Saccharomyces cerevisiae S288C: one gene and its partner. The protein of the gene in region 1 binds, or shares a complex with, the protein of each later gene. Each region holds a gene or a part of one and is shown on either strand. Other genes may lie near its edges. A codon is read from its position in the direction of its gene.

Region 1 (2,639 bases):
ATCCATAAAATCAGGCAACCAGTAAGGGTGCGGAGACATGTGAAACTGCCTGATGTTCATGACGTTTTCTTCATATTTTAACACAGCAGCTTTATTATGATATGTGTCCAGGTAGTTTGGCGCACTGAACATGGTTATTAAGCTCGGGAAGCCTGTTACTTTATTGTTTTTATACATTCTGTACCCAGCATCCTGTGCTTCGTGTGCTCTAATAATAGATAACAAACCATTTGCCTTCAAAAACTTGCATGATGCTTTAAAAGTGAAGGCGAAAGAGCAACCCCTCAAACTGTTAGGTACGAATTCATCCTCGCTCTGATCAAATTCGCTACCATCTCTTGCATCATCATAATTTTCGACAGGATCGGCCCATAGTAGGTCACACATGAGACCACGAGATGGGATTTCTCGAAATCTATTAATTTTATTAACATCCTCTACTGATTTTAACTCTGGAGAGATACCACCATGCACACAAAAATATTGTCCGTTCATTAAAGCTGCTAATGGTAAGACATTGAATGATCTGCAGCAAGCATCGTAAACTTCCATATCGTATTTGTGCAACATCTCATTCTTAAAAGTAAAATAAGAGGTCAAGTGCTTACACTCATGGTTACCTCTTAGCATCCAAAATCTCCCTAAATTATTCAACTTCAAGGAGTACAAATAAATCAGACACTCAAAAGAGAATGCACCTCTATCAACATAATCCCCCAAGAATAAATAGTCGATTTCGGCGGGGTCACCGCCAACTTCAAACAGTTTCAATAAATCATAATACTGCCCGTGAATATCACCACATATAGTAATTGGCGCTTTGAGTTTTAGTAGATTGGGTTCTTTACTCAATGCTACAGTTGACATATTTAAGATTTTTATGGCCTGTTCCTTAGAAAGTCGACCCTCATGAAAGAAATGCTCTCTTAAAAAGGAATGATTAGGTAATCCCGTCTTGGAGTCGAATACTTCCTCATCACTTGGTATCTTTCCTGTTATGGCAGGTACAGAAGCGATAGGTCGGTCCTTAGTAGAAATTACTTTACCGTTTTCTAATTCGTATTTTGTTAAATCTTTTTTCCGGTCAACCTTTATGTAAGAGTCATTAGGTTTAATGATTTTGATGCGTGAAGAATTCAAGTCTTTCGACATTGGCGTTGAGAGTGTTTTATGGCAGCTGAGCTAATACGTCAAAAAAAAAAGAATCTAAAAAAACTTTTCTTTGAATAATACCTTTAATAAAGCAAATATTAAAGGCTTTGCTTCGTTCTTTTATAATAATGCCTCTTGATTCAAAAACATTAAAGGATTTATACATTTTTCCCTTTTGTTTCCCAGTAGTACGTTCTTTTTCAGAATTGGAAAATTCATGTTTCAAGAGGCGATGACATGAAAAATTTTGAAATAGATATAGATGAATATCAAAATGATTCAAACAGTTTGTATTTATTGCAACAGGAAGAAAGGTGGAGTCCAAAGAAATCTGCGAAAAATTTTTATAGTGATAATCCTTACGGAACAATGAGCACACAATATATTGATGAGACAGCATTTGTTCAGGCTGAGCAAGGTAAAACCAATCTAATGTTCTCTGACGAAAAGCAACAGGCACGTTTTGAGCTCGGTGTTTCCATGGTTATTTATAAGTGGGATGCGTTGGATGTTGCCGTAGAAAACAGTTGGGGTGGTCCAGACTCAGCTGAGAAGAGAGACTGGATTACAGGGATTGTAGTAGACCTTTTCAAAAATGAAAAAGTTGTTGACGCCGCTTTAATCGAAGAAACGTTACTTTATGCAATGATAGATGAATTTGAAACTAATGTTGAAGACGACTCGGCTTTACCGATTGCCGTGGAGGTCATCAACATATATAACGACTGTTTCAATTTAAATTATAATAAGGTAGAAAAATTGTATTTGGAATGGCAAGAAAAGCAGAGAACTAAAAAATCAAAAAGAGTTGTGCATATTGAGGGTGATGATGATGAAGACGATGAAGATGTAGAGGACTATGATGACGAAGATGAAGATGAAGAGATGGACGAGGTTGTACCTGACTTAGTATCGTCTAAACCTGAACCAATTGTTGACGAAGACGGTTTTGAATTGGTTCAACCAAAAGGAAGAAGAAAGCACTAGTATCTTCAAAATCTGTATATTATAATTGATAGTGCGCTGCTTTTTTGCACTTCCAGTAAGAAATAGCAACAAAATTAGATAAATCTCGGTGGAGTTATCCAAAATATGTAATATATATCAAGAAAGTTACGTATTAAACATTGGACTTCTAGAGGAGATCTTCAATATAGATTTAAAAGGTGGGCAATGCATCGCTACGTGAAGATTTTTACTTTTCTTCAACATGTGTATTTTTTATGTTTCATATTTTTATATTTTGTGTTTGCTAAGGTCTAATCGTTCAGCTAAGTTAAAGCTAAGTATAAGAAGCAAAAAATACTAAATTATACTAAATTATAAATTTTCGTACATAAATAATCATGAGGTAGATGTTTAAATATGTAAATAGTTTCTTTTTTCTTCTTTGTGATTGTCAAAATTTGTGTCTATCTATACAACCCTCTAGAGGTATATCTTAACTGTGTATTATCATCAAATTCGTTATTATTATAATTGTCATT
Region 2 (17,701 bases), on another chromosome or scaffold:
GAAGATATTTAACAGATCGAACGAAACGGAAAAGAACTAAGAGAAAACAAATCTGGATTTGACTTTAAGAAAAAATTTATTTGCAAGTTTAACTCGTTCCCTGCTTTTCTATTTGGCTTGAGACGATAATTGCATAATTGTCCAAATTGTCCATCATATAATGAAGAATTCGATGCGAAATATTCCCTGTCACTTTCCTTTAGTCAACGTATTCTTCTCCCTGAAGAAACAGTATACTAACAATACTCACCCATTTCGATTTTGATGTTGCCATACAAATAGATAACAAGCACAATGCTTTCACTACGTCAATCTATAAGATTTTTCAAGCCAGCCACAAGAACTTTGTGTAGCTCTAGATATCTGCTTCAGCAAAAACCCGTGGTGAAAACTGCCCAAAACTTAGCAGAAGTTAATGGTCCAGAAACTTTGATTGGTCCTGGTGCTAAAGAGGGTACCGTTCCAACAGACCTAGATCAAGAAACTGGTTTAGCTAGGTTAGAATTATTGGGTAAATTAGAGGGTATCGATGTTTTCGACACCAAACCATTAGATTCGTCCAGGAAGGGTACCATGAAAGATCCGATCATCATTGAATCTTATGATGATTATCGTTATGTCGGTTGTACGGGTTCTCCCGCTGGTTCACATACTATTATGTGGTTAAAACCAACTGTTAACGAAGTCGCCAGATGCTGGGAATGTGGTTCTGTTTACAAACTAAACCCTGTTGGTGTTCCAAATGATGACCACCATCACTAATCTTATCATTCAAGTTGCCCTTCTGTTTCTCTTTTACTTTTTACCTTCTTCTTTATTTATATTTTTTTTTTTGGAAACCTAGCGAATATTCTTACCAGGTCTGAGCTTTTACACACGTCATGTTAACAAAGTTCCACAAGAAAGTTCTTTGCAGGAAGGTTAAGGCGAACGCTTTGCTCTATCTATAATGAAGAGCCAAAAAATACATAACCAAAAAGATCGAGAAAAGGTCGAGATATATTTTTATTTAAAAATTCTTATTAATATTAGTACTATTCATGTCATAACTGATTACTATTTCTATCTCTGTCAGAGATGGCTAGCTAGAGGTTGTTGCGAAGTTACTTCCAAAAGATTCTAGACTGTGCTTACAGCATCCATACACCCACCCATACATACTGATTTCTTTTTTTAAAGACGTCGATTTTTCGAAAAAAGTAAATTCTCGGCACAGGGAGTTGAATTGAACTTCCCTGCCCCGACGGTAAGCAGCTTACCGGTATTGCTTCGTTCTCCTTGGGAGATGTTCTCGGCTCTGGAAGGAAAAAACCTTCGTGGGGGGAGGGCTCATATCCAGTAACATAGGCGGAACTCGAAGTGTCAGCTTACACCGCTTCGTTCTCATTGAGTGTTGAGGGATTACTTGGTATTTGAAATACCTACTAGATTTAATGTTCGTTATAGTAAATGATTTAATTTGTTCGCTATTACAGATAAAAGAACCATAGTCTTAAGTAGTATGTTAACGACACAAAAGTGTGAAAGTAGAGAAGGGAAGAACGATGAGATCTTTGAATTGGGAGAAAGTAATAGTGACAAGATATTATTAAAACATGGCAAATGTAACTTGTTTTCTGAAAGGAAACCAGTTAATCACTAGAAGTGTGCCAATCATGAGTTCACACTAACTAAAGAAAAAGAAGGAAGTCGCCCATCGTATGCAATGTACTTATTATTGAAGAATATTGTACCGAGAAAATTTCAAATGTTACGTAAATATCTCCTTCCCTTTTTGCCACGATCATTTTAAAAAAATTGAGAAGTTACTAACTAATTATTTTAACTCTTTGCAAACCTGCAATACTCGTGATGAATATTTAATTAGATCATTCAAAATGCCAAAGAAGAGAGCTTCCAACGGTAGAAACAAGAAAGGTAGAGGTCACGTCAAACCAGTCAGATGTGTCAACTGTTCCAAGTCTATTCCAAAGGATAAGGCTATCAAGAGAATGGCTATCAGAAACATTGTTGAAGCCGCTGCCGTCAGAGATTTGTCCGAAGCTTCTGTCTACCCTGAATACGCTTTGCCAAAGACTTACAACAAGTTACACTACTGTGTTTCTTGTGCTATTCACGCCAGAATTGTCAGAGTCAGATCCAGAGAAGACAGAAAGAACAGAGCTCCACCTCAAAGACCAAGATTCAACAGAGAAAACAAGGTTTCCCCTGCTGATGCCGCCAAGAAGGCTTTATAACTTGATTAATATAGGTGAAACATAAGTAAATTTTTCTACTATTTCTAATCAATAAAAAATAACCATTACAATAGTTTTCTATTAAATATGTTAATGTTTCAAGTATGTTCAACATCAAATATTACTATCGTCACCTTCCACGAATATAATTTGATACGAAGTATAATTTTTTTGATTTTTTTTTCGCCTCCCTTTCTTCCCTTTAATGAGATATTGAAAAAAACTGTCTGAAGTTAATTATTAACTATGAGCGGAATGCTATCTGTATATATTGCATTGGGTTAGACAATAATCGTTTTACTCAGATTTATATCAGATAGGAAAACGACCAGTAACTATTTCTATTCCGGCACGGCATAAACGTTTTTTTTTTGAGACAATTGGCATATACTCCCCCCGCGCACGTCAATAGATCCTTAACTAAGTAGATTTTTTTTGTTTTTTTCCTTCCTTTTTTCTCTTTTCCATCCAATTTTGCCTAACATTTCCCGTCAAAGATAAAGGGAGTTTGCACAAGACAAGACTATTACGTTAGAGAACTTTCCACGAAGAGACTGGAAGAATTGAAAATTGAATATACAAACGCATTCTAGAAGAATTCGATTACGTCAATTAGGCTCTCTTCTATATTTTAGTTCACCCTTTTTTCGTCCTGTTTCGATTTTTATTCCTATCAGAGGGTGAATAAGGCAGCTTAATACGATTACCCCCACTCCACCAACATATTAAGAAAGGGAAAACTAGTGTTTCTATAAACTGTAAACCTCATAAAATCTAGCCAACATATCGAGGTCAAACTGGAGAGATCTTACGCATAAAGAAATATAATATAGCGCACAATGGCACAAAACAATTTTGATTTTAAATTCAGCCAATGTTTTGGTGATAAAGCAGATATTGTGGTGACAGAGGCGGATCTAATTACAGCTGTAGAATTTGACTATACTGGAAATTATCTGGCCACTGGTGATAAAGGTGGCCGTGTGGTACTTTTTGAAAGAAGTAATAGTAGACATTGCGAATATAAGTTTTTAACAGAGTTTCAAAGTCATGACGCAGAATTTGATTATTTAAAATCCTTAGAAATTGAAGAGAAGATAAATGAAATCAAATGGTTACGACCAACTCAAAGATCACACTTTCTTTTGAGCACAAATGATAAAACTATAAAACTTTGGAAAGTTTATGAGAAAAATATAAAATTGGTAAGCCAGAACAACTTAACAGAAGGGGTTACGTTTGCGAAAAAAGGCAAGCCCGATAACCATAACAGTAGAGGAGGCTCCGTGAGGGCTGTATTATCTTTACAATCGCTGAAACTGCCTCAATTATCACAGCATGACAAAATCATTGCTGCCACCCCAAAGCGTATATATAGTAATGCACATACCTATCACATTAATTCGATATCGTTGAATTCTGATCAGGAAACATTTTTAAGTGCTGACGACTTGAGAATCAATTTATGGAATCTGGACATACCAGATCAGAGCTTCAACATCGTAGATATCAAGCCAACCAATATGGAAGAACTTACCGAAGTGATCACAAGCGCTGAATTTCATCCGCAAGAATGTAATTTATTCATGTACTCTTCTTCCAAAGGTACAATAAAGTTGTGTGATATGAGACAAAATTCCCTATGTGACAATAAAACCAAAACATTTGAAGAATATTTGGATCCAATCAATCATAATTTTTTTACAGAAATCACGTCGTCAATTTCCGACATAAAATTTAGTCCAAATGGTAGGTATATTGCATCCAGAGATTATTTAACTGTCAAAATTTGGGACGTAAATATGGATAATAAGCCTTTGAAAACCATAAACATACATGAGCAATTGAAGGAAAGATTGAGTGATACCTATGAAAACGATGCGATTTTCGATAAATTTGAAGTTAATTTTAGTGGTGATAGTTCAAGTGTAATGACTGGTTCTTACAATAACAATTTCATGATCTATCCTAATGTAGTAACTTCTGGTGATAATGATAATGGCATAGTCAAAACTTTTGATGAACACAACGCACCTAATAGCAACAGCAATAAAAATATCCACAACAGCATACAAAATAAAGATTCTAGTAGTAGTGGCAACAGCCACAAGCGTAGGAGTAACGGACGCAACACAGGCATGGTGGGAAGTAGTAATAGCTCTAGAAGCAGTATAGCGGGAGGAGAAGGAGCAAATTCGGAGGACTCGGGAACCGAAATGAATGAAATCGTGTTACAAGCTGACAAAACAGCGTTCAGGAACAAAAGATACGGTTCGCTAGCGCAAAGGTCTGCAAGAAATAAGGATTGGGGTGACGATATTGATTTCAAGAAGAATATTTTACATTTCTCATGGCATCCAAGAGAAAATAGTATTGCTGTTGCAGCAACTAATAATTTATTCATTTTTTCCGCATTATAATTATAATAATTCCTTATTTTCCCTTACTTTTTTTTATCCCATATCTTCCCCACATACTACTACTGTTTTAATTGAAATTTAAATTGAACTTGAATTCAAATTTTTTAGATTTAGATTTGCCCCTCATTGAAAATCTTTCTATCTTTATTTTTTTATTTTATCTTCTCTACTTATATTTTTATTCTACTTCAAGCGTGTTTTATTATCATTATTCTGAGACTTATACCATTTTCTTTCGTTTTTTTTCTGATTAGCTATCTTATAAACACTGTATCAATTATTAATCCGACATCCCTTTATCAGGACTTCTTTCATCACTTCACCAAAACGCGTGGAACATAAAAATAAAACGTCTTAAATTCTTCTTCATAGGTGCATGTTTATGTTTTTAAATGCTTATACATTTGCAATATAATTATATATATATAGATGTTTAAGAACGGAATGATGCTTCGCCGCCCAAAATACCTAGTACCTTTAGTTCCTATCAAAGGATTAATCTTTTTTTATTTTGAATTTTTTTTATCGAATATAAAAGAAATAAGTAAGAATTAGTAAAATTATCATAAATAAAAATTTTTCGAAAAGTTTATTCTCACTTAATCAATTAATTAATCGTCGTGCTCGATGTGCCTGTTGACAACAGGATTCCAGAATAATGTCTTATCACCGTCACCCCAGAAAAAAGGCTTAGACCTGATATTCATAAACTCGTAATCCCTTGGCCATTCGGAGTCTGGCACATGTTTCAAATGTTCACGATGCTCAGCATGCTCCTTTTCAACAAAGTATGTGTTCACAGCTGTTAAAGCAATTGCTGGTAGGGCGACCCAAACTGAGATTTTAACCCACATATTAGATGTGTCCTTCGCATGCTTTTCAGTGGCCATTAATGATTCTTTAAATTTTTGAGCTGCCACTTTATCTGGTGGGCCAAATGCAGGTTTCAAAGCATTTGGGGGTAATGAAGATGCATATCTCTTAGCACACTGTCTAAACATTTTTCTATTGTTTGTTATTTGTATAACTGTAGAACTGTAGTAATATGATTTTAAATCTAGATAAAACACATGCGATGTGTAGTGAAAACGTTCAAGGCAACGTGTATGTTTGTTATATTTAATGTATCCCGTCACTCATCGTGATCACATCCCAGCTGGGGGTTATTTTTCGATTCTCTTAGACCGATACTCCCAGTACCGCCTCTCATTGGTGGGAAAAAAAATTACCCGAAATTACTATATTGTGTCAATACCGCACCATATCACTACATTCATAGCGGTATAATCGAAAGGATAGCGGCGTTGGGTTACTACTATCGTCTACCTATTCAGCAGGATAGCTTACTCTGTATTAGCAAATAATAGTCGTTCTTCGCTATTCCCACAGTTTCCAGTAAGAACGATTGGAGTAGAAAAAAAGAATGGTAGAATGCGCCATGGGAAAGAACCGACCAAGAGTGGGAGCAAATAAGTCAAGTAATTACATTAGTAGTGTTTAATGGTTGAAAATATGGCCAGAACTAGTATTAGCTTTCTCCAGGCGACAACAATTTTTAAACATCCGGGTAATAAATTGTTCCAGTTGATGTAAAAAAATACACGGACTCGGATAATAATTATTGGACATAAACCATATCCTTCTCTATTCCAAAGTTTGTCTAATACAGACCAGGAAACCATTTACTTCCCGCTGCAGTCTTTTTTATGACCATCTTTTTTATGCAATGCTATTAATGTTTAAAAGGATTATTTAACGCTTTACTGAGCAAAATATAGGTTATTTAGTGTTTGGAATTGTTGTTTTTGTTGCTGTTTGGATTCAAAGGGAGTATGTTTTTGATTCATAGGATTCTGCTTGGCCTCAGCATAATACTTACCACTCCCCATATCCATATTATTCCAATACTGCTGCTGATGCTGCTGCTGTAATTTTGAAGGTTGCTTTTTGTCGATTTTTTTAGTACCAGTGTGGCTGGTTCCAGTTTTGCTCTTCATAAACTCCTGGTACTTCCTCTCGACATCCATTTCGTAAATGCAATTTCCTGTCAACTGGTTTCCGATGGTAAACCAGCCAGGCCGCGTATTGTGATCCCTTCCGAATATCTCTAGTTTTCTGGCATGGGTGCCTGCCAACCGTTCTGCTATACCATACAGTTCATCAGGCTTTCTACTAGTCTCTCTGGTCATTGATACGATCAAATCGACGTCAATATGTTTGTTGATCCACTTTGGATTACCCTTTAAGCCCACCAATAAATGCTCCTTAGAATGATTTAACCAATGACCCGTACGACCTGTAACAATTGTTCTACCCAGTTGGTTTGTCTTTATCCATGAAACTTCATTTATCACGTTGTAACCCCAGTTATTCAAAGACTCTTTACCCAATTCTATAGCTCTACCCGTCACCCAAAGAAAAATAATACCTTCATCTTGTAGTTCGTGCAAAGGCAAACCTAATAGTTCAATATCGTTGCAAGTACCGTATGGTAGGTTCATATGGATATTCCATGCAGGATCTGCAATAACTACCGAAAACTTTCCAAGAACCCTAAAATCAAATTTCCGCACATCGCAACGGATCCACTGTGCAGGTAAAGCCTTTTTGATACAATGTGCGGAGCAATTGCCCAGAGTATAAAATGGAATGGAAACGTTTGACCGTATTCTTTTATTTTCACTCGCAGTTTCACGATCAGCTCGCTCTTGCAAGCATGACGGAATATATTGCAGGTAATGAATGTATCGACACGTATTTAATTTATGACAGGTATCCAAATAGGAACAATCTCCTAACGAAATATCAGTTTGTGGTTTGATATTAGGGATAAAGTGAATTTTTGATTGAATGCACTCAATTAATCCTGGGTGATTTTCCTGACATGCGGATATTTTGGACCATTGTAAAGAAACGATTTTGTTATTGACAATGTACACCGAGGTGGACAATAGAGATGCATGCGAATAGTCACTACATATCGGGATGTATTCAATGACCTCGGTCGTGTATTTGGCTCTTTCTTTAGCAAGCTGAAAAGATGATGGTTTTTCCCTCAATAAATTTTGTAAGCGATTGCTCAGTTGTTCACGTGGTAACCCCTGGTTGCTGACGTTAACGTCCCAGTTCAGGACTCCAAGCAGTCTACCCAGCAGTTGGTCTTTTTCCGAATCAGCTTCCGGTTTTGTTGTTAAACTCGACACTTTTTCTTCACATGAAGAACTGGACGATTTTAATGTATAGTAGAAGGCATGGAACTTGTTATAGAGAATTTTCAAGGAAAAAACGTCCAGGTAAACAATTTTTTCTGGCCTATCTGCCACTAATAGATTCTGGTCAAATTGAATGGACTGCGGCGTTGCAAATATAATATCCTGAAGATCATTCCAAAACTGTTCAAACTGTAAGACCTCGTCTTTATCGTTTCTCAACTTCTGCATCTCATCATCGTATCCGCCACTGATGTACAGTGAATACACATCTTTGAGCTGTCCAGAAAGCGGTGCTCTTAGGATGTCATCATAATTCTGGATCAGAAAATGTACTAGTTTATCGTTAATCATAGCCTGCTTACAACTTTTATGAATTCAAGTCTGAATGCCAATTCTTATTTTTTTCGAAAACCCCCAATGCTAACTTATATGGTCCGTTTTCTTTACTGTTATCCATCTCCCTTTCCTATAGCTCCAGCGGTTACCGATCTTCCAGAATGCCGGGGAGATCTTTCTCTTTCTTTGTTTATAACAAGTTTCACAAGCACGAAAGAAAGAACAATACTGTACGCCAAAAGCCGCCTAAAGACGCATATTCCCGTCAATTTATGTGACCGGTACCACTATATACCTAAGGCACCTCTATACCAATGTAGAATGCCCTGTTTATACTCTATATAGAGGATTCTCGATGTTCTTTGGGGCATCGTTAAACGTGATATTCCTACTATGTTACTAAATGTTGAACTGAAAGCATCTTGAAACGATTCTAATCAGTTTTAGGTGTGTCGCCAATGTACAGTTATAGAAAAGACGCCAGATTACTCAAGTACGTTAAAATCAGGTATCAAGTGAATAACAACACGCAACATGTCTGGAACATTTAGTTATGATGTGAAAACAAAGGAGAACGAACCATTATTTGAGTTTAATTCTGCTTATTCTCCCAGGGTATCGTATCATTTTAACTCCAAAGTTTCACATTACCATTATGGTGTTAAGCATCCAATGAAGCCGTTTCGGTTAATGCTAACGGATCACCTAGTTTCCTCTTATGGATTGCACAAGATTATGGACCTTTATGAAACAAGAAGCGCTACCAGAGACGAATTACTACAATTTCACTCGGAAGACTACGTGAATTTTCTCTCGAAGGTTTCACCAGAAAATGCAAACAAACTGCCCAGAGGCACACTTGAAAATTTTAACATTGGAGACGACTGTCCTATTTTTCAAAATTTATATGATTATACAACACTATACACTGGTGCGAGCCTTGACGCCACCAGGAAACTAATCAACAATCAATCGGACATAGCGATAAATTGGTCTGGTGGTCTTCATCATGCAAAAAAGAATAGTCCATCTGGGTTTTGCTATGTAAATGATATTGTGCTTTCTATTTTGAACTTATTACGATATCACCCAAGAATCCTTTATATCGATATCGACTTACATCACGGCGATGGTGTCCAGGAGGCATTTTACACCACAGATAGGGTCTTCACGTTGTCTTTTCATAAATATAATGGCGAATTTTTCCCAGGAACTGGTGATCTGACAGAAATTGGTTGCGACAAAGGAAAACATTTCGCATTAAATGTACCCCTAGAAGATGGCATAGATGACGACTCATATATAAACCTTTTCAAGTCAATTGTAGATCCTCTAATAATGACTTTCAAACCAACACTTATTGTCCAACAATGCGGTGCGGATTCCTTAGGTCATGATCGCTTAGGATGCTTCAATTTAAATATAAAGGCACATGGAGAATGCGTAAAATTTGTCAAATCATTTGGTCTACCAATGCTAGTAGTGGGCGGTGGAGGTTATACACCTAGAAATGTATCACGGCTTTGGACCTACGAGACAGGAATTTTAAATGATGTCTTGCTACCAGAAGACATCCCCGAAGATATCCCATTCCGGGACTCATTCGGGCCGGATTATTCACTTTATCCTATGTTAGATGACTTATACGAAAACAAAAACAGTAAAAAACTACTGGAAGACATTAGAATACGATGTCTAGAAAATATCAGATACTTGCAAGGAGCACCAAGTGTCAGAATGGATGCTGAATGCATACCGACACAAGATATAAGTGCCCTGACAGAAGAAGAGGATAAAATCATTCAAGAAATGAATGAAGAAACAGAAGCAGACAGTTCAAATAGGCTAGAAGAAATGGAAAAAGAAAACAGTGGATTGATTGCCTTTTCATAGTTTAAGAGTTTGCTATTCGGTTAATCTCCCGTTTTTTTTTTTTTTTTTTTTTTTATTTTCCTTTTTTTTTTTTTAATGTTTTTAGCATATTATGTAGAGTGTTAAGGCCTTAAAAGTTATTTGCATCATTGTTAAAAATGACATGTATTGTATAAGAGTTCGGCTCTTCGATGCCGTCAGAAACATTTTTGGAAGGTGCACTCCGTATTCGAGACACTTCTGAAACGGACAAGTCACCAAACTACTCTGAAAACAACAAAAAAAAGCCTTTTCTTATAATTTGAAAGCTTCTCCCGCAGCATTATCGATATCGTGAAACTTCCAAAATCTTTCTTAATTAAACCGGACATCAGTGTCTACAACATTAGAGCAAGTCACTCAGTTCATGTAATACATCTGGACAATTATGTCTAATAAAGAGATAACTTGTATCAAACCGTTTAAAATTATTGCTCTAATTTTATTGATAGTTCTAATAATAAACCTCTCTTATAAGTTATTTCTGAGACGCTATTTAAAGTCGACAGTTATTTGGTGTTTAGGAATCGCCAATACAGATCGTAACGATATGATGTGGTGGCAAGTCTCGCCACTATTAGAGCGCTGGGTTTGGCAGTTAGTTGACAATTATGAATCCGGGTACGAATAATTATCAAGCCCTTATTAGCTACAATGCTGGGAGCAATAGATATATAAATAACCCTTATGCACAGCGGAAGACTTCAAAATATCTTTGTCTTTTATATCATTATGTGGTATGTATTATATAACGAGAATAATATATCAAATACAAAAAGTAACGAGGTTACCACATTGAATTTTCTTCAAATATCAGTGGTTAATTCAACACCTCCGACAGCCCATATTTCTCTTTCATCTTCAAATCTGTCACTAAACATTGTTTCCGCGTCTCCTCCGGCAGCAATCCTTTCTCTTTCGACATTTGCTAACCTTTTACCAACCCTCTTGGTATAGTCCCCAACAGACCGTAATTGAATTGTAGTACCTGTGACAGTTTCGATGCTGTTACCGCGATCTGAAATTTTAGCAAACCACTCGTTGAAAGTATGCATGTCATCTTCTTCAACCAATTTGAACAAAGCTAAATATGCTTTTTCTGCTGCGAGCTTAATTGGGATAACAGGATCACGCAAGCAAGAAAATACAGATGGTCCTACTACATCGAAGTATTGCTTAATGCACTCGTCAAATTTGAATCTGGCTAGTGTTCTTATAACCACCAAGGCCAACCTTCTTACATCCGTAGAATTACTGGCTGGTTGTAAGACAGCTTTGCTCAACTCATTAATTAACAGATTGATGTTTTCATCGCCAATTTTGAATGGTTCTGCAGCATCCTTTTTAACAAATGGAGACCTCTTTTCTCCTTCTAATAAAAGTAATTTACCAGCAGCAATGGTACCATTTTCTCCGAAGTAAACATCAGGGGAACGGATTGCATTCAAAATGTAACTTACAAATTCGTCTATCAAGCCCGTATTGAATATATGTGTTGGTGCATCTTTCAAAAAGGAATTCAAAGTCAGAATAGCAAACTTACCGGTTTCTCCATCTAGATCTGCATTCAAAACCTTGTCTTGCAATATCTTGTGGGCTTCGTCGTTCGACAAAATCTCTGATAACGATCCGATTAATTTAGCGTAAGCAACTGCCAATTTGTCATTGCTACCCAACATTTCTTCCTCAACTAAATTGACAATGTTTGTCTTAGAATTTTCGTTTAATTTGGAACCAGCCTTCATAATAACTTCCAGTAAAGCTTTAAGCATCGCAGTCTTGACACCTTCATCTGTGGCTTGCTTGGCACCTGTCACCAGTTCAATGACTAGAGGGTCAACACGAGGCTGATGTTCAATCAGGGCACCAAGAGCCTTTGCGGCGCGGAGACGTAACGTTTCATTGGTAGCGTCAGACAAGGATTTAACAAATGTTCTTTGTAATTGAGGGATAAAAGGCCTCAAGAACATTGGAATCTTAATGAATAGCACATTAAGTGCAAATAAAATTGCTGCTTTGATATCACTACTAAATCTTTCACCCACGACACGAATTAATGGACCAGTAATTACGCTCACAAATGGCTTCAAGTTAGCGGCAGGGGTCTTCGAAACAACGTCAGCAATGGCTAATGCAGATTCTTCCCTTTCATCATTCGAACCATACATCAAACCATGCAAGAAAATAGGCAAAACACAGTTAGGGCCTCTTGGAAGCTTAAATGCAGCGACATCTTGACCTTGCCTGCCTGTTAATGCCAATGACTGTTTAGCAGGCTTAACTAATTTTTCTAAGGTGGGCTTATCAACCTTCTTCAACAAAGTAGACAAAGCATTGAAGTTACCATTAACAACCCTTTGATCTTCATCATCTAATGATAAAATTGCGTGAGAGACAAAGTTCGGAATATAGACATCAAAATCAAGAACAGTCTTATCGAAGAAATTTGGCAAACGTTCTAAAACAGCTATGCGTTTCTCTATATTATCACTCTTTAGTAGTGACATAATCTGTTGAAGTAATGGGTGAAGACCTTCGTCATCATTCACAGATAAGAATACCCTGTCTAATGCAAGTTCTAATGCACCCTTGGTCGATTCATCTTCAGAAGTACCTATGATTGCATCCACTAGTGCGTTGATTATAATTGATAAACGCTTGTATAAGGCTGAGCCAGCAACTTCCGCCAAAGAACCTAAAGCAGAAGCCCTGAAGGCGTCTATTGGAGGGGCTAATAGGGTTGGAATTAAAATTGGGAAGATTACGTCGGACTTCTTCGACATAATTTCTTGTAAACCTAACAAAGCAAAGTCAGAATTATCAGAAGATTCAAGCATATGCAACAAATATGGTAAAACTTCATCAACAGCAGTTTTTCCTACAACATCTTGGAATACATCAAAAGATAATGCAGCCGCTTCTCTGACAGTAGCCGACTCATCAATTAATGCCGTACGAATAATGTTAACGATGGTAGATTGGAACTGTGATATCGTTTCCGTAGAAGCCGATTCAATTAACTCATAAAGAGCAATACAAACACCTTGTCTCGAATCTGAGTTTGATGTTTCTATCAAAGATTCCTCCAAACTTGGTAACAGTTGGGACAAAGCATTACCACCTACACGACGGACAAGATCACCTAAGGTCTGAGCAGCAATGTTGCGTAATACATTGGATGATGAAGCCAAGTGAGTGACTATCATACCAGTCAATGTTGGAAGGATCTCTTTCACAGCTCTTGGAGTATTTGGAACCAATGCCTTCCAAATGTCAACCGTCGTAGCACGTACGATACCAGAAGTGTCGTTCCTGCATACAAATAATGCGGCTAAAATTCTATCACGACGGTCTTGGCCAAGTACATCGACCAATTTACCAGAGAATTCACCATTATGATCACCATCTTCCTCAGAAAATTCGTTCCTGGAGGAAATACCAGTAACTTGGAACAATAGTTCTCCGGTTAATTGAACAGAAGATAAGCGAATTCTGTCATTTTCATCGAACATACCCCTTTCTAATTCAGGCAACAACAAATCAACGGCCTTTGTAGCGTAGTTTTTGACAATTAATTTACCAGCCTTCAAAGCAGTATCGCGAATATTTTCATCATTATCGGCCAATCCGGAAAGAATAGGCTGAATAATCTGATTAATGTATGGAGCAAATTGTGATCCAAAACAAACAGGAAGGAAAAGCAGCAAAGGCATGAATCCTTCCCTGATATAAGCACGAAAATTGGTTACACCAGCTAAAATGGTTGGTAACATCTCATCCAACTTGGTCAAGCCCAAGCCACTAATAACTTCAGCTAGAGCTTGAGCAGAACCGAGACGATCACCAGATTTTGATTCGTCACTTAAGGTATCTAGTAGACGAGGAATCAAATCTGGGAATTGCTCTTCACCTAACCTTTCTACCAAAGCACCCAAAGCACGTGCTGCTGTGGCTCTAGTATTTGGAACTGGATCCACCATAGCAATCTCCACTTCATCTATCAGCTGTTGTAAATATGGGATGAGATCTTTGGTATCAACCAAAATGGCCATATTGCCCACGATCTTACATGCTTTCCTCTTAATGTTGGCAGATCTATCATGCATACCACGATGAATAATATGAATAATTAGTGCTAGTGAAGGACCATCAATATAATGGACAAATTGTGTTTGAATTAACGAATCCAAGGCCTCTTCAGTGTATTTTGTTGGATCACCGATAGCTTGCAAAAGTACGGGCACCAATTTCTGAATTTCCGGATTTCTGATAACTTCACCGAATCTTTTCAAGGATTCATCAGCGGCCTTACGCACCTCTTTGTGAGAGTCGTTCAATACACCAACAATTTCTGGGACAATGGTGGACAAAGAAGCTGACAATTGAGTAGGATCTAAATAAGCCATATTACCCAACAATTGAACAGAGCCCCTCTTAGTTCTCCAAGCAATTTCATCCAAATTAGAAACAGCAACTGGAATTAACTTTTTAACACCGTAACCTGTAGTATGCGCCATTATAGCCTTAGTGGCACGAGCGGTTGCATCTCTAACTTCAGGAACAGCATCCCCTAAATTCTTTAAAATATTTGGAAGAATTTCTATCACATATGGTTCAAAAAACTTTCCTAGAGATTCAGACAAATATTGAAAGCAGAAGCCAACAGATTCACGTCTTTTTGGCTCCTTTTTATCTTCTGCAGCTTCGATGAGGTTGCGAATAATGTCAAACTCCGAGAGAGCCGAGATACCGTAACCTTTCACTAAACCAGCGATACCCCAAGCGGCACCTTTCCGCATAGAAGAAGCAACAGTTGGATTCAGCAGTTTCTCCATTAGGATACCCAAGTAATCACCAACTTTTTGTTTGAACTGGAAAACTAGTGGTGCTATACAAGCCGACACAGCCTGTTGAATATCCGCAGAAGGAGTATCCAAAGTTGAAAGCAATCTTTCAATGATCGTGTGAATCCTTGCATCACTTTGCTGTAAATGTCTTGCTAATGTACCATACAAAATAATAACGTTCTCTTTTAAGGCACTGTCCGTACTGGAGCTTAATGCTTCTTCAAATATAGGAATTAAATCCTTCGAGTTTTGTGAGCCATGTAACGTAATTAATTCAACACCAGCTTCTTTCATTTCTTGACGAACAATAGGCTCTCTGTCTACTAGACCTCCATCATCGACCAAAAATTTTATAATGTTAACGACAGTATCATCCTCTGCAGAAAAAGCCTTAGCCATGATTTTTAATGTAATAGCAACGGTACTTCTTCCTTGCCATGGATCTTTTTGTTCACTCGCAGAAACAAGAACCAAGCCAAATTGATCAAGAATTGGCTCCAATGGCTTTGCCTTTTCTTTATAAAAGTTCAGCAAATCATTTAAGTAATCTTTCGAGGAGTTCTCTTCAGAGGTAAACAGACTTACCGCACCAAATGCGTACGCGTTTGCCGCAAATAATCTCAAGCCACTATCATCCTGATTGAATAGTGGGAATAAGCTTTTTAGTAATTCATCGTTGACTACAAATTTGTTGAACTCCCAAATGAAATCTGCAATCTCGCGGTTGGAAGGATCCGAATCAAATCTGCAAATGAAAACTTCAGGTGAATATTTCATAAAAGGTTCTAATTCGAATTCGTTATCAAGAGTTTCTAATATTGTTGAACGGACAAATTGATTTGGTGATAGTAAATTTGATAGTATCATATCAAGGTCTTCTTGATTTGGTGCAACAGATATGCTTTGGCACAGAGCGTTGAAACAATCTTTAGCAATCTTCGCTTTTGAGGGTAAAGATAGAAGAGATAGTAACACTTCAACAATGGAAATTCTCGGAATGGAAGGATCCTCAAAAGCTTCAGCGTGTACAGAAATAATTTCCATGGCCAGTAACAGATGTTCTTCTTCTTCATCTTCTTCAACAAACTCAGCCTTAACAACAGGCTTGTCCGCATTCTTTAATGCAATCGCCTTACCCTTTTCTAAAACATTAATCAACAATGGTAAAATATATGTCAAACTGATGGAATCTATTGCTGCTTGGTTGGAGACGAACTTGATCCTAAAAAGAACTCTTGTAAGTAATTCAACCAGTGGTTCTTGTAAATAATCTTGCGAGATGCCATTAGCATTGTGCACACGCAAAGTCGCCAAACCTAAGAAAAGTCTGATATTACCTAATCTCTCGGAGACATTTTGAGAAAGCTGCAAGAACACATTATTTACATCCTCTGTTAGCTTTGAAATATTTGGTTCCGAGCATAGGTACAAAAGCTTTGTGACTGCCAAGGGGAACCAAGTAGCGATGCCATTTTGGACTAAGCAAGCAGCTTTGGAAAGTTCAGATACCAATCTAATACCACGCTTTAAACGAGTGGAAATTTCCGAAACGTGTGATCTAACTGCAGATTCTTTCGCTAACTGTTCATTAACGAGCTCTTGTTCCTCTTTTGAAAGTTTTTTCACATTCTTTTTGGCTTGCTCCTTCCTTATTTTTTGTTCCCACATTAGAGTTTCGTACTCTTTAGAATTTTTATTGGAAAGTTTCTTATTCATGCTTTCTTCCAGGACGTCAACCACCAGAACACCTTCCTCTCCTGCAAAAATTTCGAAGTCCTCTTCAGATAAACGTGAGAAATCATCCGCGGTTAAATCTGCTTCGATAGTCTTACAAAGGATCGGTGTGAACTCATTAGGCTGAATAAATGCTGCATAGGCAGCTGCTTGCAAACCGCATGCACCATAAATTGTATCTATCCATTCACAACTACCTGTGATTTCAAGAATCTTCTCCATGATAACGCTAGCATGTTCTTTGACAACTTCAGCTGGATCAAGCCTTGCACGTAAAACTAAACCAGCCCAGCCATTCTTAATGTTGAAAATATTCCATTGCGCTATGACCAGAGCATTGATTAATACCTTTATCGAGGCTTCCTTGTCAGGTAACTCAGACGTAATGGCCAGTAGTACAGAAGTGACATATTTAAAGGATGTATTTTGTTGAGGTATTAATTCTTGGACACGCATTCTCCTTTCAATTGCATCAATCACGCTAAACCCAATAAATTCGGGTTTCTTGTAGAACAATTCTTGTAGTAAATTAACAGCATGAATACGGTTTTCGATGGATAGCTCTGTTGATAATGCAGCAGTTAAGATAGCATCACCTATCGAAGAATTTTCAGGAAGGGTTTCTATGAGCTGCATAACACGATCATTTAGCTCAGTATTGTCCAATGCCAAAATTTTGTTTGTAAATTCAATTGATGCTAGAATACATGCATGCCCGTGAGTCTGATAATGTATGATGGAGTCTTTCACAAATTCCAAACAACCGTCTATAAAGTTTAAAATCACCTCTTCAGAGGCAGCATTGGAATTGTTCAAAAATGCGGCAAACCAGCATTTTTTCAAAGCAGGTTTTTTATCTGCAAAACCAGCTGATATAATTTTATCCAAGTCTTCAATAGGTTTGCCCAGACTAAAATAATGAACAAAAAAAGCGTTAAGCATTAGAGTCAAGGCTGCTTCATTACCTTCTTTACCAATATATGGGGACAGCCCTTTGCAGATTT

Evidence for each region.
Region 2: the proteins of TSR2 (region 1) and RPS26A are in contact, whole or in part, in an NMR structure (PDB 6G04), measured with the Saccharomyces cerevisiae proteins. Residues at the interface, in NP_013539.4 of Saccharomyces cerevisiae: Ala30 (codon at 1,609), Arg31 (codon at 1,612), Glu33 (codon at 1,618), Leu34 (codon at 1,621), Ser37 (codon at 1,630), Met38 (codon at 1,633), Tyr41 (codon at 1,642), Asp58 (codon at 1,693), Glu61 (codon at 1,702), Lys62 (codon at 1,705), Asp64 (codon at 1,711), Trp65 (codon at 1,714), Thr67 (codon at 1,720), Gly68 (codon at 1,723), Ile69 (codon at 1,726), Asp72 (codon at 1,735), Leu84 (codon at 1,771), Glu87 (codon at 1,780), Thr88 (codon at 1,783), Tyr91 (codon at 1,792), Asp95 (codon at 1,804), Glu96 (codon at 1,807), Glu129 (codon at 1,906), Tyr132 (codon at 1,915), Trp135 (codon at 1,924); in NP_011326.1 of Saccharomyces cerevisiae: Arg100 (codon at 2,175), Pro101 (codon at 2,178), Arg102 (codon at 2,181), Phe103 (codon at 2,184), Asn104 (codon at 2,187), Arg105 (codon at 2,190), Asn107 (codon at 2,196), Lys108 (codon at 2,199), Val109 (codon at 2,202), Ser110 (codon at 2,205), Pro111 (codon at 2,208), Ala112 (codon at 2,211), Ala114 (codon at 2,217), Ala115 (codon at 2,220), Lys117 (codon at 2,226), Ala118 (codon at 2,229), Leu119 (codon at 2,232).

Annotation. Positions count from the first base shown.
Region 1 is NC_001144.5:1,004,857-1,007,495, forward strand, and holds TSR2 (Tsr2p), read left to right. Parts: upstream 1-1,521; coding exon 1,522-2,139; downstream 2,140-2,639. Other genes in the region: CNA1 (calcineurin catalytic subunit A), read right to left, coding at 1-1,152; ECM30 (Ecm30p), read right to left, coding at 2,565-2,639. UniProt on the Saccharomyces cerevisiae protein: Required for 20S pre-rRNA processing.
Region 2 is NC_001139.9:132,765-150,465, reverse strand, and holds RPS26A (40S ribosomal protein eS26 RPS26A), read left to right. Parts: upstream 1-1,877; coding exon 1,878-2,237; downstream 2,238-17,701. Other genes in the region: COX4 (cytochrome c oxidase subunit IV), read left to right, coding at 295-762; YGL188C-A (uncharacterized protein), read left to right, coding at 1,502-1,642; protein phosphatase 2A regulatory subunit CDC55, read left to right, coding at 3,077-4,657; COX13 (cytochrome c oxidase subunit VIa), read right to left, coding at 5,269-5,658; IME4 (mRNA (N6-adenosine)-methyltransferase), read right to left, coding at 6,418-8,220; YGL193C (uncharacterized protein), read left to right, coding at 8,239-8,550; histone deacetylase HOS2, read left to right, coding at 8,740-10,098; YGL194C-A (uncharacterized protein), read left to right, coding at 10,505-10,747; GCN1 (Gcn1p), read right to left, coding at 10,923-17,701. UniProt on the Saccharomyces cerevisiae protein: Component of the ribosome, a large ribonucleoprotein complex responsible for the synthesis of proteins in the cell.